3 linked regions of the Drosophila melanogaster genome follow. Changing the gene in region 1 together with any one later gene gives a genetic interaction. Each region holds a gene or a part of one and is shown in the gene's direction. Other genes may lie near its edges. The genes, in order: ZnT35C, ry and MTF-1.

The links.
Region 2: of ZnT35C (region 1) and ry, changing one suppresses a phenotype caused by changing the other (phenotypic suppression), as found in Drosophila melanogaster (2 studies listed by BioGRID).
Region 3: of ZnT35C (region 1) and MTF-1, changing one suppresses a phenotype caused by changing the other (phenotypic suppression), as found in Drosophila melanogaster (one study listed by BioGRID).

What each region holds. Positions count from the first base shown.
Region 1 is NT_033779.5:15,243,824-15,251,019, reverse strand, and holds the start of ZnT35C (zinc transporter 35C), read left to right. Parts: upstream 1-3,305; 5' UTR 3,306-3,425; coding exon 3,426-3,457; intron 3,458-4,667; coding exon 4,668-4,846; intron 4,847-5,059; exon of another isoform or gene 5,060-5,347; coding exon of another isoform or gene 5,348-5,462; intron 5,463-7,196. Other genes in the region: dao (down and out), read right to left, coding at 1-13, 132-372, 1,454-1,881.
Region 2 is NT_033777.3:13,029,130-13,039,195, forward strand, and holds ry (rosy), read left to right. Parts: upstream 1-3,398; 5' UTR 3,399-3,636; coding exon 3,637-3,678; intron 3,679-4,488; coding exon 4,489-7,089; intron 7,090-7,370; coding exon 7,371-8,684; intron 8,685-8,749; coding exon 8,750-8,800; 3' UTR 8,801-8,891; downstream 8,892-10,066. Other genes in the region: CG46280 (uncharacterized protein), read right to left, coding at 790-922; CG46281 (uncharacterized protein), read right to left, coding at 1-625; l(3)87Df (lethal (3) 87Df), read left to right, coding at 1,853-1,882, 1,953-2,140, 2,206-2,320; CG11668 (uncharacterized protein), read left to right, coding at 9,284-9,345, 9,398-9,648, 9,698-9,870, 10,012-10,066.
Region 3 is NT_037436.4:9,427,433-9,434,314, forward strand, and holds the start of MTF-1 (metal response element-binding transcription Factor-1), read left to right. Parts: upstream 1-2,879; 5' UTR 2,880-3,089; coding exon 3,090-3,901; intron 3,902-6,253; exon of another isoform or gene 6,254-6,466; coding exon 6,467-6,614; exon of another isoform or gene 6,615-6,882. Other genes in the region: Shc (SHC-adaptor protein), read left to right, coding at 1-1,002; RpS17 (ribosomal protein S17), read right to left, coding at 1,442-1,682, 1,742-1,893, 2,263-2,265.

The sequences.
Region 1 (7,196 bases):
CGTCGTAGGATTCCTACAGATATTAAGATATATATCTTTACAACATGTATGCATATTGACCAAAACTGTTTAAGCCAGTGTGGTATATGGTATACCACTTAATCCATTGCTGAAATACATGGATTTCTTACCGCATATAGACCGCAATCAAAGAGAACCAGGGAGCGATTGGCGTGGGCCAGGGCGGCTGCTAGCGTGTTCCGGGCGGGGGCCAGGAATATGGCCTCCGTGAATAGATCGCTGGCCTTGAGCGGATGCCGCTCCTTGCGATACGAATCGTTACCAGCCTCCCGCAGACGACGAGACTCCTCCTCCGACTTGAAGTGGCCCGTTTGGTGGCGCAGATGTTGAAACCATTTGAGTACGTGTGGCCTGTGCGGTTGGCAAAAGGGTGGCATGGTTAATTATTCACGGCAAATGTCAAAACGAAGTGACCCAAATACCGAGTTCGACAGCAAACAATGTTTCTTAACCTAAACGTACGAATGCATGCAACCGACTATACTGGGCCGTTATTACAAAGTGGTAAAAAGTGGTAAAAAGTGCTGGCAACAAATGGATGGATGGATATGAACCAAATGAAATGATTTAAATGTGACTTCAAAATTGCACATTTTTGTAAACCTATATTTCGATTAAATATTAATTTCTAGTTTATTAAATATTAATTTTTAGTTTATTTTTTTTTTTTTAATCGGGTCATTTAATCTTAAACGAAGCCCAATGTGCAAGGGTGCAAAATCACCTCCCACAAATTAAATTAATTTCGTGGGGTAATTATGGATTTGCATAATAGCTTGGCCTAACCAACATTAGGCCACTGGTTGAAAAAGCACCACGCGTTTTTAATTTGCTTTGCATATTGTTCGAGGATGACATGCGAAACTATAAAAAAATCAATGTAATAATAAATACGTAAAAAAAAAGATTTATATTAAACATTTATATGTGTGGAAAAGTAAGCTTTTTGTCTGAGGAATTTTATTACTGCTTCTAAAAAATGCCTATTTCTTACCAACACGTAATACACATTCAAGCAAACGCATTTTAGGTTTTTTCAAATAATAAAAATAATGGATACCCTGGACTATCTTATACCCTTTACTCAGCTGAACGGACGTGCTTGGCTGAATCGTCATGGCTAGTCAATCTGATTATGAACATAAATACTTAAAAGAGCCAAAAACGAATCATTGTACTGTTACATACTTTTCCCCGAATCCAGCATTCCCTTTTGCTTTACACATAATGGGTATAATCATTGTACAATGTGAATATGTTTTTTGTTTTTAAACTTTCTTCCTGTTTTAGGATATTAGATAACGACTATGTTTGCTATTGTGAATTGACACTATCGACATTCTTAACGTTTTGACAAATCTGGTTAGTTAGTGAAAGCGATTAAGTTTGGGTTTGTGCTTTTATGGACTAGTGGCCACATCGTTATGTTTACCTAAAATCTAGCACCGGCTCCTTGGTCGTAGTTGGGGACGAAATACCGAGTCCGCCCACCGCCCCAATCAGGTCGTCATCCTCCTCGCCGTTTTCGGGACGCGAAAGTGGCGCCGCCGAGGTGCTGGCCTCCAGATCGCCATCCTCCAGATTGCGGCTCAGTTTCTGGCGTTGCACAGGCGTTATGAGCAGGAGCAGCTGCAGCTCGTCCTTGTGCAGCAGCTCATCGGCGTTCAGGTGCTTCAGCTGCTGGCCAATCAGCTCGCTTAGGGTCACAGCTGGCGGAGCGGAGGCAGTAGCTGCCGCGGAGGTGGCACCGGAACCGGAAACGGCAGCCGACGAGGCGGTGGAGACGGGAGCGGTGGCTGCGGTGGTGTTGGTGGTGGCTGCTTTGTTGTTCCCACGCGCAGAGGATGTGGAGGAGGCCATCACTTGGTGGCTGTTTGGTGCTTGTGGCTCGCTTTTTTCTGGTCTCGCGCTCTCCTTCCGTTCAGTTGGCCATGGCCATCTATCTGGTCACTGCCGCGGCGGCAGTCCGGGCGAATTATCGGCTATCAATTCGAGTGCACAACGCCCCGACATCATTGACTAATAACGCTAGCTAAACTTTCACGAACTCCCGCACGTTGTGGCCTTCATATTGATTTTTTTAAAACATCGCCACTCGTGCCAGCGATGCGCGAGTCGTAACGGACCTATCGCTTAGGGATGACACTTGCCAGTTACCGTTAATCTTGGGGATGGTATTTCAAGAATATTCTATCCCATATTATGCATTCACCAATCCCAATGAATTAAAAAAGTTGTGAACCCTGTACCTATGAAATAAATCTTATCTTATTATATACCCTGCCCAAAACATTTTTACTAATATCAAATCTTTAAGTTCTTCTTATCGTTTGATCTTTATGCTTGAAAGAGTTTAAAATATATATTTCTAATTTTAAACTTAGAAAAGTTAGAATAAGGAAAAACGAGTTTGTAGCTTTTGAGCATTGTTATTTTATTAACCTTTCAAATAAACCACCTATTGTACAATATTTTCCTATATTTGTAAAGCCAGGGCTTCATTTAAAAATACCAACATCAAACTGTTTTCAGCTATCTGGCAGCCCGAGAATAAGCGCAAAATTCAAAAATTCTAGCGAGTGCTTTGCGCCCATTCACATTCTTATCTGCCGGCTGGGTAAACCTGCTCTTAAAAGCAAACTGATCCCGTTGGTTGTCTTACCGCACGTTACCATCATTGAACGGTCCGTGTGCTATATTCACACTTGACATATCATACCTCCTGCTGATAAGAATGGGCATCTTTCTTCCCCTTTTTCGTTTCACATTGCACGCAGAAAAATGTTGGCACAGTATTAAAATTAAAAGTTTTTATTTCCTTAAAAAAGAAAGTACTAAACCCAAAGATCTGATATTCTGTTGATAACTTTATCAATCATTGTTATATCTATGATGAATCTACCTTGATTTACATTTGTTTAATTTTTAATTTTAAATCTTTATTTTGAAATCCGCTTTGGCATTATGTAATTTTCAACAATTATAATTATGCGGATTATATTATTCTATATAAAGATATTATCTATCTATATATTATCATTATATATATTATTATTGGGACGAATAATGTTTACCTTTGCTTTGGAATATATATACCAGTTATTTTTTTTGAGTGTTTTGTTTCTGCTTTATTTTAGCTTCTAGACTGATCCACCCCTCCTCACCTCCCTCGAAGTACAAACACATGCATTGCACTCGGCTCTCGCCGATCTGAAAGTTGTAAGTTAAGATAACCACGATTATCTACTATTTGCTTGAATCTTATCATTCCACAGCCTCTGTGAATCAGTGGAGCATATGGGATCTTATAAGAAACACTTGTCGGTGCGGTCTTGTGTTGTAACGTGTGGTGTTAGTGTGTCTTGTTGAAAAAATATAAAGTGAGTTAATATTCGGAAATAATAATGTCCAGGAACGAGGATACACCGATTGCCAAGTAAGTTATGGGATGCTGGGAAAACGGTTTATCGCCTGACTTCCTGGGCCAAAGTTTGCGCAGCGCAAAAAGTTGGCCGAATATAAAATCTCTTTTGGGCCAAATTAACATAAAGCGCCAAATGAGCTGCTGATTTGTTAAATAGGCGTAAGAGCGGACCGCGTGGGAGCAGTGACAACTGTCGGGTTCCTGGAGTCTTGGGATTTTCTAGGTGCGCACAGGCCTCCAAAAGTTGGATCGAAAGCTTAAAGTGCGACGGCTAACGTATTTTGCTTGCTGTTTTTTTTTCACTCGTTTTTCTTTTTTTTTTTTTGATTTTTTTTTCTTCCTTTGTGCAATTGCGTTGGAAAGTTGCAGAGCAAGTAGTTTAGCGCCATTTGCACTTTCCGTAGTAAAAATTACGCGCACTTGCTCTGGCACACCCACGCCCACCAACGCACGCCCACCCACGCACACACACACACCCATGCAACATGAGAAACTTATCAACGGGCACATCACACGCACACACACGTGCTGCTGATGAAGGCGGCGTCGGCGGAGTGGGCGTGGCCTTTAAGTAGTCATCGTAGTTTGCGTTAAGTAACAAAACTTCAAATTGAATTTTTCGCAGCACTTTTCATTTTAGCACCTATCAAAAAAACTCCTTTTTTCGGTGCATTTCGCCTCGCTTTCCAAAGCATCAAGCTCATTACAGTGGCAACTGCCTGCTGATGGACGGTCGGTTCGGTGGGGCTTATGGCAGTCAATGGCCCCACTGTACATTGTGTCTGCTTAAATGCCGCAGTGTTTTGTTGGCACCGGCAACGCTACGTTTTAATTCTCTGCCGGGGTTTTTCCAGTCGAAGCTGCCACGGAAAAACTTTTCTTGCTGTGGCTGCACTTACTTACTTCTCATTCTTTTGGGCGTCTTGCACTTGTTTACCGTGGAAAACAAGTGCATTTCTATAGAAACTTGTGCAGAATAAAACTAACGAATGGCACATTTTAATTAAAGAATTAGTTGGGAAAACGTTATATATTGTTTAGACCACATTCCAAACTTGTTTTGTGATGCACACTTGTAAGATTATTTCTAGTGGAACATCATAAGCTAAATATGAACATTTTGATTAAAACTAAAGCATTTAGCGTTTACAGTATGAAACTTATGAAACTTATCGGTATAATCTTGAGTTTTCCATCGAGTAACCATCTTCTTCTTCTGCAGACGCGACTCTGGACGGACGCGCCGTAGCAACTATGGCACGGCCCCATCCTTTCACCTGATGGAGCAGGGACAACCAGGTGTGAACGTAGTCGCTGGCAATGGCAACAACAATCACCCGGCAACGCCTGCAACACCTGCTCAAATTTTTTGTTTACACGGGCGGTCCAACAACGTCGAAGGTGAGTGAGGCAAGAAGGGGTTAAGTTAAGAGGGCCTGAAATGGGGTGAAAAGGGGTTGAAAAGGGGCTGCGAGGGGCTGAGGGGTGGGCTTAAAGCGGTGGCAAGGTGACTGTGACAAACGGCGGGGCACTTTCGTGTCGCTTTCAATCAGGTCGGACTGCCTCGCAGCAATTTGCAGTCATTCATAAATTATCAAGAAAACGCAGCAGGCAGCGGCATTTTGCACTAAAAGTCAAATGCAAACAAATCAAATTCGACAACAACGAAAATCAACCAAATTAGTTTTCACATTGTTATTTTTCCGTGTGTGTTTTCCCCACCACCCCCCCCACCCAATTTTTTAGGGTACCGAAGCTTGATTGTTCCTAAGCGCGGATCGTTGATTGTTTGCTTTCCTTAATTTTTTTTTTTTTATTCGGGTAAAATCGAAAAACTCGCTGCAATCTACTCGTGTTCGGACCCAAATGTATGGGTGACTGAGGAGCTGTAATATCGGGTAAATGCTCGCTAATTGGCAGACGGCACGGAAATCGTCGGAAATGAATGATGCCCGGCTATATAGGAATGCGGCAACTTCGCTGGATAAAAGCCGCTTGGAAATGCTGCACGAATATGGTGAGCAAACAACTTACCACCTACTCGAAGCTTTATTTCCGCCCATTCCGCTCACTATTCGCCCATACACCAACCACCCACAACCGCCCCTTGTCCCCGCGCCCAGTGTCATCAATCAGCTGATGATTCTCGAGGTTGGCAAACCAAATTATGATGGAAACTGGGCCGGCTAGCCGGAGAGCAATCCGCTGTCGCCGCCGTAGCCGCCGCCCAATCCGCCCAATCCACCCAATCCACTCCCCCCCATCAGCATCTGTGGCATAATCAAAATTTATGCTCTTTGCTGACACACCGCTGCTGGGAGCAGACCGCATCCCACCACTATGGCCATATGTCATAAATCGCCCGAGGAGCCAGTGTAACGCTCGCCATAATTTACGTACGACATCGTCGATGGACCAAATAAATGTTTGAATCATTTTTTTCATTCATTGCCATCATACATAGGGTCAGAAACCGAAAAATCGACGTGGCTATCTCAAGTTTATATTTTAATTTCCTGCGCTTCGGCTTTGAAACTAATCGCATACCCTGTAGGAAAGGATTTGGTATAAGTAACGACTGCATTCTCGGAAGCACTCAATATCAAAACTTCAATTATCAGCCATCTGTTCAATTACATATATAATACAATAGCTATGCCCCATTTTACTGACAGAAAGTACATTTAATGAGTATGCGATAGTCGCAAGTAGCGCAGGAAGAATGGTTCTGCTTTTTTGGCGATGATTCGATTTATTGGCAGACGAGCTGGGCCCAAAATGAAATTAACTGGCGTCTAGACGAGGTGGATCCGCTACTGAAAGCTGCCTCCATCCTACACTGCCACACACAGCGATATATTCTCGTAGTATATAGTATATATATTATGCAATCGTCTTGGGGCGCTCGGTGCATTCAATCATGGCTTGAGTTAGTGACTCCTATTAGATAGCTCAACTAGCCGAGTGCAGTTCGATGCAGCTGCATTGATTTGCTTTGGCCGTAGTTAGTCGTTTGTAAAACGCGCTCCAGATGGGTCCATTCGCAAATGCTGGAATACTAAGCAGTTCGAATAGGTCCGTGTCCATTGTTCCCTCGAGTGAACGTCTTCCCTCGTTGTTATCGCCGCGTGCTCCGATTTCCTGGTTATGGATGTGCTCAGGCGGAGTGAGGCGGACCAGAGCAATGGTAACTTGCTAATTAGGACAGGAGATGATGTGGCGTGGAAATATACATAGTATATCAGATGTGAAGTTATAATCAACATAATGAGCGCGTAATCAAATATGCTGAGCCCTCGTTAGCCGAAAGTCTGATTTGGTTTCATGAGGTATTCACTTCATTTGATGATATAAAGTTTGGGTATAGTCAGGTGTTTATTGCGCAAACAAAGCGCTTGCCTAAACAGTTAACAAAATCCAACAGCTCTAGCAAAGAAAGTGAAATTAAAATTATTATTAATATTAAATTATTAGAATTTTAAAAAGAAAGAATTTTGATGGAAATATTTTACTTTGAAAGCACTGGAAAATGATAAATAATATGAGCTTCAATTTGAACTATTTGAAATACAGAATACTAGGGACTTATATTTTTCCGTGTAACAAGTGCTTAATTATATAAAAGATGTTTCCAGCCATCGGATTGGATCATCTTTAGATCTCAGCTGGCGTAGATTCTGGGCACCTGTCCAGCTATTGGTATTGATATTTGCACATAATGGAATTGCTTTTGTCGCGTATTTATTTCTAT
Region 2 (10,066 bases), on another chromosome or scaffold:
CGGTTAAAAGGAACTGCTTCAGCAGATCGAAACACTTTTGCTTCATGGCTAACGCGTTTCGCTGTTGGCTTTCTTTTTGCCTGTCCAACTGGTCCTCATACTTTTGAATAAGCCTCTGCTTAAGCTTCTTAATCTTCTCACTGATAGTGTCTTTTAGGAAAGGCTTCTGGCTTTCGTAGGCATGTCTGCACATTTTCTGCACTATTTGCTTCAGTTCGTAGTCCATATTCTTAAAATGATCATTAAGTTTCTCATCGTCCGCAAATGGCGCAAATATTTGCGATATTAAATGATCGGGAAACGTATCGGGCGTTTGGGATTGCAGACTCTCTCGGGCTGCTACCATTATTGTTTTCTTTATGCTCTGACTGAAGCTCAGCTTTTGGCTGCTCTGCAATTTAAGATTCTCGATCGTTTGCTTCTGATGTCTTGTTTGAATTTGCAGAACAACGAGCTTCAGTTTGAGCTCATTAACCTTGCGATCCAATTGGTCGTGCTCATCTATGAGGTTCTTTTGCTCGTAAATAGCTCTCGAAGGAAACTCATCTTCTTCCGATTCTCCTATATACTCCGGATTTGTGAAGGAAGCGCTTTGATTACCCATTTCGGTTAACTTGTGGTCCATATCCGTGTCCTGCCCGTATGTAGAGAGGTCTACTTCTTTTTCCGACCGCTGAAACTTTTCTGCTTTCGAGGAGAACGGGTGATTCTCCTGGAAGACGTGGCCCTCCGTTCGCGGATCTCTGCTACTCAGGATCTTGAGGGCTTTGTATAGGTTTGGATGCTTACCATTGCACGACTTGTAGGCCGTGGTGGACAGCTGGTGATCCAGGGCGCTGTCGTAGAAAGTGTTGTCGCCCACATAGATGCTGTTTCTCTTGTCCGGCGAGGATTCAAACGACGTGGAGGCGGATACGTCCATGGTCGTGTTCAGTTGGGTCAGTTGGAGGCCTGGAAGAATCGGTTGCTAGTGGAAATTCGGTTTCGGTTGCTGGCGAGGCGACGTTTAAACATCTGGCGAAGAACTGTGGAGTACCCAGAGTTGAAGAGCGATTATCAGAGACATGTATATAGATAATACGTTTGCCTTACTCTCTGCAAACTGCAAATTTGTTTTACTTTTCTGCCTACGTGTCGTACATTGCCAGTTGATTATGTTCAGTCGGGTTTTCTCGACTGACTTTAAAGTCTGCGCCACACACGCACACACATTTGTGCTCCACATATTTGCCTTAGAATTTGTGTAATTCACCTGGGCATTCTGTGTTTTCTTAATTTACTCACCTGAAAATTTGTGTTTAGTGTGGGTGTTGTTGCACTGCTGGATGTTTGGGGCACATTGGCAGAGGCCTTAATTGACGACTGTCTGCTGATTGAAAACTCAATTTGATTGGCGCTGATTACGTTTTTGATTCAATGCGTGCTCTTAATTTAAATAAAAACCCAAAAAACTAAAGAAATTAAATTGTGATTAAATTCTTCTTGCTAGCGTCGACCAGTGTTGCCTAATGCTTAAAATGCAATTATAAGAGCGACTCTAGTGCAAGAAACGAGTAATCGATTCTGGTTCGATAGGCAACGACTTCGATAAGGCGCAAATTAAACTAGTTGTAAAGGTTTTACGCTATATGTTGTATGCAAGAAAATCAACATAATTTAGCTATAAATATAGGCTACACTTATTTTTAATTATAAGTCCAAATTTCTTAGTGCATAGGAGTGGAATAACTAATTTTATATCAGTTTTTGGAATGCCCCTAACATGTCCGTGGTATTATTATTTAGTAACGTCAGGGTCACACTTTTGTTTTGTTTTGCTTTGCAACTTGACTTTTAAAATTGCAATTGCAGCATGGCCGAAGAACCCGAGGAACCCGCCAAGGTATGGATTACATAAATCTATTGGACATCAGGTGCCTGATTAAGCTTTAACTATGTTTAATCTCCCATAGAGCTTCGTTATCTTCGGACGCGATGTGGCGCAGATCCCGTGCTTTCGTAACAGTTTTCTCTACGGAATCAGCGGAGGAATCGGCATCGGCTTGCTGACTTTTCTGGGCACCTCGCGAACCCACCTGTCCACCCACGTGGGCTTCGGCTCCTTCTTCTGCGGCACCATCGCCTACTGGATGACCTGCAGGTAAGTGACTGTGATTAAAACCGTGCGGCGCCCTTATCACTTAATTATCAATGTGGCATCCGCAGGTATCAATGGTCCGTCAGGAGATTCGAGCAGCAGCAATTGCGTGAGGCGATGAGACGACAAGCCCTTTATGAGGGCACCCAAAGGGAGAGAGACTTAGATCTGAAGTCGGCGTAGCATAAGTCAGATCCTTCATTACTACTTCGATGTTTGTTTTCACTCTAGGATACCAAGTAATCCTGGCATTGTTAAATCCCTTGTGTTGTAAACTACCTTTTGTTACCAAACTTTATAGTAGCCAATATATTATATATATGTTGTAAGTGAAATCTTAGCTTGCCACTCGTAGGGAATTAATTATGCCACCATCTTTGATTTGGGATTGACAGAAATCAATCCATCATTTTAATGATTGTGGTTCCTAAAACCTGTTGGGCTTTATTGTGCTTTCGATTTGATTTAAGCTGATAGAGCTAGTTGTTTACTTTTGAAGAACCTTGAACCCATTTTGACGACCTTTTAACTTTTTAATAGTTTTTTTTTACCATTTACATAAAAGCAAAATTTACAGTCTAAAAGTTGTATATTCAATACGTTCTGGTACGTAAAAGGGTTATTTAATGCACCATTTTTACAACTTTAGATAGTATACTTTTTACTTGAGTGGGAGCCATATCACAAAAATGAAATGAAAGGTTAAAAAAGTATCTAAAAGTAAGTTTCAATTAATATTCTGAAAAATAATTGCATTTCATGTACGTTTCTCTGAAATACCCCTAATTCGATACTATTTATAAATCTGGAAGATATATAGCTAGGAAATAGATTTATATATTTGCCTAGTTTGAACACCTTGTGAACATTTTGTTTAAAAAAAAAGCGTATCGTGGTACTAGAAAACTTTAAGATACAGATAAATAACTTCACTATACCGAGGTTTTGGTGTTTCTTGAGACTGAAGGACAATCTTCAAAATGGTCTTAATTCTTGAGATAGAAAAGCTGCAGTTCTCATGCTGAATAGTGATCAGTACGATTTTATCTGACAGATTGCTTTCCTAGCTGACCACACCGATCTCGGATGGGTATCTGCTCTAATCCGAGATAGCAGGTAGTAGAACTGCTGCCTCGTAACCCCTAGACATGGCCATTTCCACGCACATGTAGGCGATCCTGCACTCGTCGGTCGCTCGTCTTATCTCACAAAAATAAAAGTCGGCGTTTGGATGGATTGCTCGGCTGGCTGTTGGCACATTCATTACGTTTTCGTTGACGGCGCGAGACGGTTGTGTTGTTTTTTAATCGGCGGGCACATGAGGTTGTCGGTTCTCTAATTTTGAAATAAAAAACTTGTTTTCGCTTTACATTCAAGGAACGCACCTCCTCCCCTCCATATATGTAAACGAGCTTCGTAATTGCAGGCTAACACTTATATAGGCATTGGTACTGAGATACAGCGAGATACCGTGAGCTACAGATACATAGCACTTCACGATGTCTAACTCGGTTTTGGTGTTTTTCGTGAATGGAAAGAAGGTACTTAAAGATACTCGGATGCCTTGCGTGTCTTTCCTTAAAGTCGGCCCACTCCTACTATATCGATTCCCTTTATTGTTTTATTGCCCTAATTGCGTTTAACTGGCATTCGATGGAATTTGCCTTCTTGCTCAATTGAATGTGTCGAATGTATATAGTATTTGCTGTGCATATAGTGATAACAATTGACCCCCATGTGAAGCCTCGTTGTTTGCTGGTGGCCCCTTATCGCCCGATCAAGATGGTGCACTTGCCAATCGCGCATGGGAGCAGTGCTACTCGGATGTGGGTGAGCTGGGATCGTCATGGGCATTTGTGTCTGCCAGATAGCCAGGCCCTCTAATCCGCACATTCCCACCGGCTGTGCGGTGTTTACAATCCAGTGAGCTCGGCTGGATTATTCAGATAAAGCTGGCCATATTTAGCATCTGGTGTTGGTGGAGTGCAGTTGGAGTTCTTTACTTTGTGCTCACAGCTTGCGCACAAGTGAAGTAAATAATAATAAATAACCAGTTGCTCGTGCGCCCGGCATTTGATAGTGATAGATAGCAATCTCTGTTTGCTCAGGGCTGGCAGAGCAGATAACACTTTCGCTGTTTTAAGTTTAAACAAAGTCACAGTTTTGACAAACAATTGCTTTAAACCATATAAACTTATAATTATAGCAATTATAATTAAGTAGGTACAGATCTTAAAGCTACAAGATACAAGATACAAATTTTCCCATTAATGGATAAATGGCATTAGATACTTTTGGGAAATTGATTTCGTTTTTTTCATTTTATTATATTTATACATTTCTTATTCCAGGTGACCGAAGTGTCGCCTGATCCGGAGTGCACGCTCCTCACATTCCTGCGCGAAAAGCTGCGGCTGTGCGGAACGAAGTTGGGATGTGCGGAAGGCGGATGCGGCGCCTGCACCGTGATGGTGTCCCGCCTAGACCGTCGGGCCAACAAGATACGTCACCTGGCGGTCAACGCCTGCCTGACGCCAGTGTGCTCGATGCACGGATGTGCGGTGACCACTGTGGAGGGTATAGGGAGCACCAAAACGCGTCTGCATCCGGTGCAGGAGCGACTGGCCAAGGCGCACGGATCCCAGTGCGGCTTCTGCACGCCGGGCATTGTGATGTCCATGTACGCACTTCTGCGGAACGCGGAGCAACCCTCTATGCGAGACTTGGAGGTGGCATTCCAAGGTAACCTGTGCCGCTGCACCGGCTATCGACCCATTCTCGAGGGCTACAAGACGTTCACCAAGGAGTTTGCCTGCGGAATGGGCGAGAAGTGCTGCAAAGTTAGTGGGAAAGGATGCGGAACCGATGCGGAGACCGATGACAAGCTCTTCGAGCGCAGCGAATTCCAGCCCTTGGATCCCAGCCAGGAACCCATCTTCCCACCGGAACTTCAGCTGAGTGACGCCTTCGATTCTCAGAGTTTGATCTTTAGTTCGGATAGGGTGACCTGGTATCGTCCCACCAATCTGGAGGAGCTGCTTCAGCTGAAGGCCAAACATCCGGCTGCCAAGCTGGTCGTGGGCAATACGGAAGTGGGCGTTGAGGTTAAGTTCAAGCACTTCCTCTACCCGCACCTCATTAATCCCACCCAGGTGAAGGAGCTGCTGGAGATCAAAGAGAACCAGGATGGCATTTACTTCGGTGCGGCTGTCAGTTTGATGGAGATCGATGCGCTTCTGCGGCAGAGAATCGAGCAGCTGCCGGAATCGGAGACCAGATTGTTCCAGTGCACCGTGGATATGCTTCACTACTTTGCCGGCAAGCAGATCCGCAACGTCGCCTGTTTGGGTGGAAACATCATGACCGGTAGTCCCATTTCCGATATGAATCCTGTGCTCTCGGCAGCAGGAGCTCAACTGGAGGTGGCCAGTTTTGTGGATGGAAAGCTCCAAAAGAGATCAGTTCACATGGGAACTGGGTTCTTCACTGGCTATCGCAGGAATGTTATCGAAGCCCACGAGGTGCTGCTGGGCATCCACTTTCGGAAGACCACTCCGGACCAGTATATCGTTGCTTTTAAGCAGGCCAGGAGAAGGGATGATGACATAGCCATCGTAAATGCCGCAATAAACGTTCGCTTTGAGGAAAAATCCAACATTGTGGCGGAGATCTCGATGGCTTTTGGTGGAATGGCACCAACCACAGTGCTCGCTCCTCGAACTTCCCAACTGATGGTTGGGCAGGAGTGGAGCCACCAGCTCGTGGAGCGCGTGGCGGAGAGCTTGTGCACGGAGCTGCCTTTGGCTGCCTCCGCTCCGGGTGGCATGATCGCCTATCGTCGAGCTCTGGTGGTGAGCCTGTTCTTCAAGGCCTATCTGGCCATTTCCCTGAAGCTGAGCAAGTCAGGGATCACATCTTCCGATGCTCTGCCATCGGAGGAGCGAAGTGGTGCCGAGACATTCCACACACCAGTACTCAAAAGTGCCCAGCTCTTCGAGCGCGTCTGCAGCGATCAACCCATCTGTGATCCCATTGGGAGACCAAAAGTTCATGCGGCTGCTTTGAAACAGGCCACTGGTGAAGCTATCTACACAGATGACATTCCCCGCATGGATGGTGAAGTTTATCTGGCCTTTGTCCTTAGTACCAAGCCACGTGCCAAGATCACCAAGCTGGATGCCAGTGAAGCTCTGGCCCTGGACGGAGTGCATCAGTTCTTTTGCTACAAGGACTTAACGGAGCACGAGAACGAAGTGGGACCCGTCTTTCATGATGAGCACGTCTTTGCTGCTGGAGAAGTGCATTGCTATGGTCAGATAGTGGGCGCCATAGCTGCCGATAATAAGGCGTTGGCCCAAAGAGCCGCTCGGCTAGTGAAAGTGGAGTACGAGGAGCTGAGCCCGGTTATCGTGACCATAGAGCAGGCCATCGAGCACAAGTCCTATTTCCCGGACTACCCTCGATTCGTGACCAAGGGCAATGTGGAGGAGGCTTTAGCCCAGGCGGATCACACTTTCGAGGGCACCTGTCGAATGGGCGGACAGGAGCACTTCTATCTGGAGACCCATGCTGCATTGGCGGTACCTCGTGACAGCGATGAGCTGGAACTCTTTTGCTCCACGCAGCATCCCTCGGAGGTGCAGAAGCTAGTGGCCCATGTAACCGCACTTCCTGCCCACCGTGTCGTCTGTCGTGCCAAGCGTTTGGGAGGCGGTTTCGGCGGCAAGGAGTCCAGAGGCATCTCCGTGGCCCTACCCGTTGCCCTGGCCGCCTATCGAATGGGTCGTCCTGTGCGCTGTATGTTGGATCGCGATGAGGACATGCTTATCACCGGCACCAGGCATCCCTTCCTCTTCAAATACAAAGTGGGCTTCACCAAGGAGGGTCTGATCACTGCCTGCGACATTGAGTGCTACAACAATGCCGGTTGGTCCATGGATCTGTCATTTTCGGTAAGAGTGGTGGGTTTATGGAAAATCCATATGTAGGTTTCTTTATGCATACCATGTTTGCTCAAATATCCATGTGTTGTATTTTCCATTGAACATCTGGTTAGTGTGGGAATTTCTAGGACCCCTATATGTTATCATCCTGAGTGCAAATAGTTTGAAACTTTTAAGAATGTTTAGGTCTAATCAGGAAAGCAAGCACCAGGATTATATTGACATAAACAATTATAAATAATAATCTAAAAATTCTTAAAAATGATCTAATATATAAATCCTATGTTTAGGTTCTTGAGCGCGCCATGTTCCACTTTGAGAATTGCTACAGGATTCCCAACGTTCGCGTGGGTGGATGGGTCTGCAAGACGAACCTGCCCTCGAATACGGCCTTCCGTGGATTTGGAGGACCACAAGGCATGTACGCCGGTGAGCATATCATCCGGGATGTGGCCCGGATAGTGGGTCGCGATGTGGTGGATGTGATGCGGCTGAACTTCTACAAGACTGGAGACTACACACACTACCACCAGCAGCTGGAGCACTTCCCCATCGAGCGGTGTCTGGAGGATTGCTTGAAGCAGTCGAGATACGACGAGAAGCGGCAGGAGATTGCTCGATTCAATCGGGAGAATCGCTGGCGGAAACGCGGCATGGCGGTGGTGCCTACCAAGTATGGAATCGCATTTGGAGTGATGCACTTGAACCAAGCGGGATCGCTGATCAACATCTATGGTGATGGATCCGTGTTGCTTTCGCACGGAGGAGTTGAGATCGGACAAGGTCTGAATACCAAGATGATTCAGTGCGCCGCCAGGGCTCTGGGGATTCCTTCGGAACTGATTCACATTTCGGAAACGGCCACGGATAAAGTACCCAACACTTCACCCACGGCGGCGAGTGTGGGATCCGATTTGAACGGAATGGCCGTACTGGATGCGTGTGAAAAGTTGAACAAAAGACTGGCGCCCATCAAGGAGGCATTGCCTGGAGGCACCTGGAAGGAGTGGATCAACAAGGCGTATTTCGATCGGGTCAGCCTCTCGGCCACAGGATTCTATGCCATGCCCGGGATTGGATATCACCCGGAAACGAATCCCAATGCCCGCACCTATAGCTACTACACGAATGGCGTGGGAGTCACTGTGGTAGAGATCGATTGCCTGACTGGCGACCATCAGGTGCTCAGCACAGACATCGTAATGGACATCGGTTCCAGCCTGAATCCGGCTATTGACATTGGTCAGATCGAGGGAGCATTCATGCAGGGCTATGGACTGTTCACTTTGGAGGAACTCATGTACTCACCACAAGGCATGCTTTACTCCAGAGGTCCGGGCATGTATAAGCTGCCAGGATTTGCCGACATTCCCGGGGAGTTCAATGTCAGCCTACTGACCGGTGCCCCCAATCCACGGGCAGTCTACTCTTCCAAGGCAGTGGGTGAACCTCCGCTCTTCATTGGATCATCTGCATTCTTTGCCATTAAGGAGGCCATTGCAGCTGCTCGCGAGGATCAGGGCTTGAGTGGTGACTTCCCACTGGAGGCGCCTTCCACATCGGCACGCATTCGAATTGCTTGTCAGGATAAGTTCACGGAACTGGTAAGTTACCCTTGGATTAGTTTATAACATTAAACTAACTTTTATTATTAATTTATTAATTATAGCTTGAAATACCCGAACCAGGATCATTTACGCCATGGAACATTGTGCCTTAAAATTGTTTTTATTGTTTGTACTGCTTAAGCATTTAAAATGACGATTTTATTTGTTAATTTGTTTATATATACATAGTGAATTAAATGTTTTAAAAATAATTGAGTCGTTTAATGTGTAAACTAAGCTGGAGAGCTGTTTGAACAAATTTATATACCACTGATTAATATTAAATATTCCTTTTAGATTAAGAAAAATTCAATGGTTACTTTTTTGTTCTATCTATTATTCAATAGAATCTCGTGGCATGCAATGCATTCTGATTTTCAATTGAAAAGTCTTAGTCACTATTTATTTTGAGTATATTAATGAAAGTTGAGCAAGTTTTCCGATGAATTGAAATATGAGTTCCGATTTCGGCGCGACTGCTAACCGAAAATATAAGCTCAATCAAAAGAAGCTTTGTATGGAACTCAGGTTATGAGACGAGATCTTCGCGAGCATCTCAGTCGGCAATCTGACGTCGTAGAGCTCGGACATCCGAGATGGGAAAGCTATCATTTGGATACAGATTGATTTTAGAGTTCGTCTTAATTTCGACGTTAGCGTTCGTATCGGCAGAACAATTGTTGCTATCACTACAACCATTATTACAATAGATATGCACAGAATGCGCCTTGGAACGCAGTGGCTCCATCGTATCTATCGATTGACATATACGGAAATTGCCAAGCCCACGATCGTCCGCTGATTGGTAAGTGTGTGCGGTACGTGGATTGCATTAGTGCCATGCAGGCAGTGCCCCGGGTGACACCACTACTCTGTCCGTCATCGTGGCCCAATCAGTTGGTTTGCTGTCCACACGGCGGATACTTGTTGCCGCCGCCCAGCATCTCGAAGAGCGAACAAGGTGCGTATGAAAGGAATTCAGAGAATCCAGAACTTATATCTTTTGCCAGCCTGTGCCAATGCCTATCCAAGAGCTCATCACAAGCGCCGTCGACGCCGTCGGAATACGAACCCTAAACTGGATCAAGTGGAACTAGTTGAGCCAATTATACAAAAGCACAATCAGAGCCAGAATTTACTGGTGGGCGGCAGACTCACCCAGGAGAACGAGCATCCGTATATGGTGAGTTTTAAGCAATTAGGAAAACAGTCCAAAATCTAACCTTATGAAACTTATTTGCCTTTGAAACAGTAAAAAATTAGCAATCTGATATTGTAAGCCATTTGGTAGATTAATAAAGATTTACATTCGATTCAATTACAGTGCGCCCTCGGTTGGCCGTCCCGCACAAACAGATGGATTCATGAGCACGGTTCCA
Region 3 (6,882 bases), on another chromosome or scaffold:
GGCAAGCGGAGATTAACCAACTTCATATCGGATCGACCCAGCATGCAGCACGCCGGCACCAACATCATCATTAATGTATCGAGCCGTGCTCTGTCGCTAAGCAACGTGGAAACGGGCGAGGTTATAGCCAATCACAATATGCCGCGCATATCGTTCGCGTCCGGCGGTGACAATGACACCCTCGACTTCCTCGCCTACATAGCCAAGAATGAGGATGAATGGCGGGCATGTTATGTCCTGGAATGCGCTGGCGGCCAAAGCGAGGATCTAATAGTGACCATTGGCAAGGCGTTTGCCTTGCGCTTCAACGCTCTCAGTAGGCTCAATGATCCCTCGGCGGATTGTAACATCAATCAAAGCTGCAAGGAGAATGTGAAGGAGTACTACAACGATTTGCCAAACAAGCTGCCACCAGAAGTGCCGGAACCACAACAACAGCAGGTGCAGCAACCTCTCCATCCGCATGCGCCTCGTGTGGCACAACTGAATCTGAAGAAGCCTCGCGATCGCCTGAGCAGCAACCTCATCGACCTCAACTCCCCGCCTCCCGATCAGACGACCAATAAGTTAGGCCACTTTGATCCCCTCCAAGCGACCACAGCTGCCAATTCTGTTTTGCCCTCTGTTCGCGATGTGTTCGACGGACCGCAATGCCCGCTCACAGCGGAGGTGTGGTTCCATGCGGGCATATCCAGACCAATATCGGAGCGTTTGCTGCAGCAGGACGGCGACTTTCTGGTGCGCGAGTCACAGGGAAAGCGGGGCCAGTACGTACTAACCGGATTAGAGGGCAAGACGCCCAAGCATCTGCTTCTCATCGATCCCGAGGGCGTGGTCCGAACCAAAGATCGCATCTTCGACAGCATTAGCCATCTGATCAACTACCACTGGGCACACGCGCTGCCCATCATTTCGGAGGATTCCGAGCTGGTCTTGCGTAATCCGGTGCGAAGACCCCAGCAGGATCAGGCTGCGTCGCCCATTACATCAGCATCTTCCTGAACCGGAGGGAACAATCATACGTATAGCTACCACCCATCATATACATAACAAATAATTATATATACTGGCATCAGCGTACACGATTAGATTTAAATATTGTGCACTCGTAGAATATCTTTTATATATCGTCTGTGTAAAAACGAACCCATATATTTATGGATTGAATATAAACATATTTACAAATATGTGCATGTCTACAGTATTTTCCATTCGAATGCGAATAAAGATGATAAACGGAACACAGACTTGGGGTTCTTGAATTTAGATCGAGTTTCCTGCCTGGTGAGCCACTTTGGAAACGATGTTCACTTTGGATATTTTTCAATCGAATACGCATAATTAATTGAAACACAAAAACATACACTTTAAATGCACTTCACACAAATTTATTGTGATCCCATGCAAATCAGAACATCATCATCTACGCGCTATACAAATCTTAGTTGCGACGACCAAAGTTGTTGGTGTTGGGCTGGGTGAGCTGCAGGCCACGGATGTTGTGGAAGTCCAGAAGCTTCAACATCTCCTTGGTGTCGGCGTCGACCTCGATGATGTCCTGCTCCAGAGCGGAGACGGCCGGGACGTAGTTGTCACGACGCTCACGCTCCTCCTCCTGCAACTTGATGGAGATACCACGCACCTGGGAGTGACGCAGGCGGCCCATCAAATGGGTGACATAGCTGGAAAGGAATTTGGGGATTATAGATCCACTCACTAACGAGATTTGAGCGGCACTTACCCGGCAATCTTGTTGCGCAGGGGCTTGGTGGGAATGATGGCCACCTCCTCGCAGATGCGCTTGTTGGTGTGGAAGTCCAACGTCAGGCGAGTGTAGTACTTCTCGATGATGACCTTAGCGGCCTTCTTCACCGTCTTGGTTCGTACGCGACCCTGTGGTAGTTGATAAAATGTTTAGTATCACGATAGTTCAATCCATTTTGTTGTATCTTTGCGATAGTTTTCTGTCACAACTAAATAGTTATTTGCAGCTGATTTTCTGAGATAGTTGCGGCATTTTTCGGGGACTTTTAATGTAAGAGGCCTTCACTCGGTTTTAGTTTAGGTTTCTTTTAAAGTTTCCGTTTGAATTGCTATTTGGTATTGATATTAAGGACGGTTTCAAGACGCCGGATACAAATAATTGCTTTTGGGGTAACAAAATTGGCACTATGCACGTGGGATAAGCGGCTGTCGTTGCCGTTTTATGCTTGTTTGACCGCTTTTTGATTCGAGTTCAGCCAGTTTTTCGTTGGTACGTACCATTATGTTGCTCGATGGATATTTTAATCACCGCTAAAATGAGAAATAAGCAATTATTTTTAAGAAAAACGTGGAGAAACAAAATTTGTGCACATACCTCGCCGGAAACGAAAGAAAAAGAAGGATGCCGTGTGACCAGGGTGGTTGTGTGAAAAACATACTAAAATATACCGCAAATATACCATAATTATGCAAATCTCGAAGGTAGATGAATTAAATAGAAATAAGAGAGGACTTGAACCTTAGAACACATTATTTAACAAAAACCGCATTATTGTACTAAACATTTTAAATGAGACTATTGTACAGTGCAATGGTACCTAAATATGGGCTAGAATACTTGTTATGAAACAAACTCTTTTTTATAAGAAAATATATAAAATCTTTAAAAATAAGTCTATTCGGCAGTATATTGGTTTCGCAAATTTATTCATTCTTTAAATTAGAACACCTTAGTTTCAATTTCACACCACGCTTGGAGACTCCGCCTAAAACTCTACACGCGGTTTGAGTCCCCACTAAGCGGTGTCCCCTTTTGCGTTCCACTATTTTCGGTATATCCCAGTTTATGGTATATTTCAGCCAGAACCGCGTTATATTTTGTCGTTCCGCCCATGGTCACACTGGTTCTTATCGTTGTTGCTTGTGCTTTTCGATCGCGGATGTGTGCTTTTCGATCTCGCGATCTCTAATTTCTTTAGCAATCTATATATATGTACATATTGCACGGTGGCAGCAGAGAAAGAGAATAACAACTGCATATCATATGCGATATAGCAAGCGTTTGTCTTAGTGTGCGTGGGTGTGCAAATAACAAATAATACGACATGAACGACCAAGAGAAACAACACCAGCAACAACAACAACACTACTTCCACAGCGAGTGGAAGACTACCGCTAATAGTCATGGAAATTCGTTATCAGACAGCCGGGATTATGATACCAACTCGTCGCGCAATTCGCTTTCCGGCTCCCCGCCCGTCACATCCAATTGCTCCTCCTCTGGTTCCCTGGACTTCGACAGGCCACTAGCTCAGTTGCTCGAACCGAAATTGGAGGCCGACGGGCTGGGCATCATCCATGGGGACAACTACAGCATCTACGGCAGCCAGACGGCGGAATCCACAAGTGGCGAGCAACAGGTGCTTAATCTGGGCCTCACCCTTGATACGGGGGACGCCCAGGCGACATATGGCGACCTATTCGGTGCCCAGGATCAACTCACTGCATCTCAAACTCATGGCCATTCACAAGTTGTTGTATCTGCGGCAGCGGACAACGCTTTTTCGCTTGCGGATCAACTAACACCATTGCCCATCACGGTCATACCCATCACATATCACCATACCACCGAGAATCTCAGCTCCAGCCACTCTGAAGTTCCGCTGATAGCCAGTCTGAGCGATATCACCGCCCAGGTGTTCAATCTGGATGACATCTGCTTCACGCTGGAATACCAGTTCGAGAACCAGAGGCTCGTCCAAGTCCAGCCGCCCACTGTGGTCTCGCTCAGCATGGTGTCCAGCCCCAACGAGGCTGCAAATCCTCCAATCAACTGTGATAACGACCAGGGAACTGGAAACAGCATCTCTAGGGACTCCACATCCAATTCTCCAGCTTATTTCACAATTGAGACGAGGTATTCCCCACTTGCACGTACACCCACCGCTGCATGTGTATTTTATGATTTGCTTGTATTTGGAATGTTTTTTTGCTTAGGCGTGGTGTTTTATAGATATGATAACAACAACCCGTTCTGGAATTGCAATATTATTCGTGTAGAAAAATGTAACTATAATTTTATATAGATTCAGAACTATATATTGCCTTAAAAAATCGGTTCTCGAAACTTCGTACATATGTGTGTATGCATATTGTATATATATCGAAGCAAGAATTTTGCCATATATTTTAAACAAAATTCAAGGAAAATTATTGAATTCAAAAAATCAAAATAAATCATAAGTCTTGGCAAAGCATTTTATTTGAGATATTGAATTTGGTTCAAGCTTTGAGCACATAATTAATTCATTAAATTTATGTTATGATTAGAGCACAGAATTATGAAATATTAAAAATATATACACTTTTTTGCCGATATTATTTAATATTTAATTTTATGCCAGTCCTTGAAATCGTTCGATTGCCTTACGAAAAAAATCACTTAATTTCGATTTGGTGCAAAAGCCAGAACGGGAATAATAATTGCATATTTTTAGTGTCATGTATGAGTGGATTTGTGCTTGGTGCTTTTGTCGTTTTTTGGCCAATTATAGTGGGCCGTCAGGTGTGCCTTGCCCTCCGCATTCTGACCCCCGCCAGGGACACCACCGCCCCTCTTCGCTGCTAATTTTCCACTGCCCACACACAAAAAGATTCTCGAGAGAGAGAGAGAGAGAGCGCGGAAAAAAGGAAAACATTTGCCTAGCGTCTGTCGTGACGTGTCCGATTTTTTTTTTAAATTTTATTTCACTTTTTGTTTGGCTGCCCACGAAAAAAAAGAGGCAAAATCGAATTTTCATATTTTCTTCCTTGTCGAGAATTTGTGTTGGCAAATTTCAAGCGTTCCAATGTCCACTTATTACAACGCGGTGTCCGAATCGCTTGCAAGTTGCTTGCTAATTGCCTGATTTGTGTTCTCAGCCTGTTGCATTTCTGCGCGCTTCAATCGACTCGACCAGCGCATACCCTCGTCGCAAACATCCAATATTACCGAGACTATGTGCCAATGGGCATCATAATGGCTGCATGCCTTTGGGCCTCCACTTCGGCTGATGATTGTATCGAAAATCATTTGTTTGGGCCAAAAATAGTTGCGGCGATGAACGCATTTAGATTTCTACCCCCACCCCAAATGCCAAGCAGAATGTATAGATGGATATACATATGCATACATAGATGTATATTTCTACAATGTGTTAGGCGAAGACGACCGAAAATTTCCCCGAAACTCATTAACACTTGATGTAAAGAAGCCGGTTTTCAAAAGAATCCAAATTGTAGTGGCTTCTATTGTGAAATTCTCCCCCAACAAAGTGCGATTTGGCACTATAAAAAGTTTTCTCTATATATTCTATTTTTCCCAAAGGGTAAAAATCGTAAATGTCTCAAAGGTCTTTATTCTCTAGAAATAGGCTAAATAACATGTACAGCTGATAGGGCTTTTAATATAAATACAAAGCAAATCAGTTCTCCCGAAACTTAGTTAACAACTTTGTGATAAGTCACGAATGCTGAAGGGTTTACACAATGTTTACTCACATTTCAATAGATATGGATGATACAGGAAATCGACTGATAAAATGTACAGGGTAATAGATAGACTTAGACCAGCTGATACGTAAAGTACCCGATTGATTGAAACCCTTCAAAAGATATGCGGAATCGGTCATAAACTAAATTTTCCCGCGACTAAGTCCAAATGATCTGTTGTGATGGGCTTAGTTCGCTACGTTCTACATTGTTGTTGCTCTTCGCTAGCTCATTATTCTGCGGTACAATAATTTTTCAATTTTTCATCCGTGCCTTGCTTGTTGTGTTCCTTCCTTCCTGCCGTGCTCCCCGTTCGGCGACGACGCCCTCTTGCTATTTTTACCGCCATGAGTAGTGTTCCCTCAATCATATTTCTCATTTTTCAGTACTCCCATGATTAGAGGGGGCGGGGGGAGGGGCATCTCGATGGGTGAGCCGGTGGCAAAAGGGATGAGGAAGGGTCCGTGGGGGACGCACGCTGCCCGTCAGTCAGCATGCCAGCCGTCTCAGCGCCCACGCACTTGTTGTTCTGCTTCCCTCGGCTTTTCTTTATAGTTTCTGTTGCCGTCTGCTATTTTATTTTGCCATTTGTTGTGTTTTGACCATGACAACATTAAATATTAATTAATCTGATTAATAAGGACAGAAGAGCCCTCCAGGAAACGGCTGTTTATTCGATCGCCTTTACGACTTTGTTTGCTGACGCTCTAAACCCACTAATCGCAATCTGTGCAATTTTCATTCATATATATATATATATTTGTATATATGTATGTACATATACTTGTTGCGTTTATAATTATATACAAAGATCTTAACGGCCCACTGACACACAAATCGGATGGAATATACATATGCCCCGCCCGATGCGATTTTCTGTTTGTTTCCAACTGCAAATTCGATAAATTTCCCCCATGTTGGTCTCTTTACCCCGCTCGGCCGAATCTTCCAGCTATGTGGATGAGTACGATCCAAATGAGCCGGACGAGGACGAGCAGCTGGCCCACTGCATCCAACCGGGCGTGCTGCACCAAGATGTCGATGAGGAGGAGGTGGAGAGGCAGGACGAGAACGATCAGCTAATGGCGTTGGCCTACGAGGTACACACACCCAATCACCAACCGCTAGTTCAATGTCTAACGTGCCTTACGTTGCCTAACGCTTTTTGTAGCTACTCGCCATCCTAATCCTAGTGTTAGCGGAGAATCCGATTCCTGTGATTCCGCTGTAGGCGTGTGTAGCCAAGTTTTGTTAACCATCTTTAGCGGTGCGTAGTATCTGCTTATTTCGAAAGGCTGTCCCCTAACATATCACTCGGACCCAATGTTCAGCATGAATCCATTTCATCATAATTGTCTCATTCTAAAG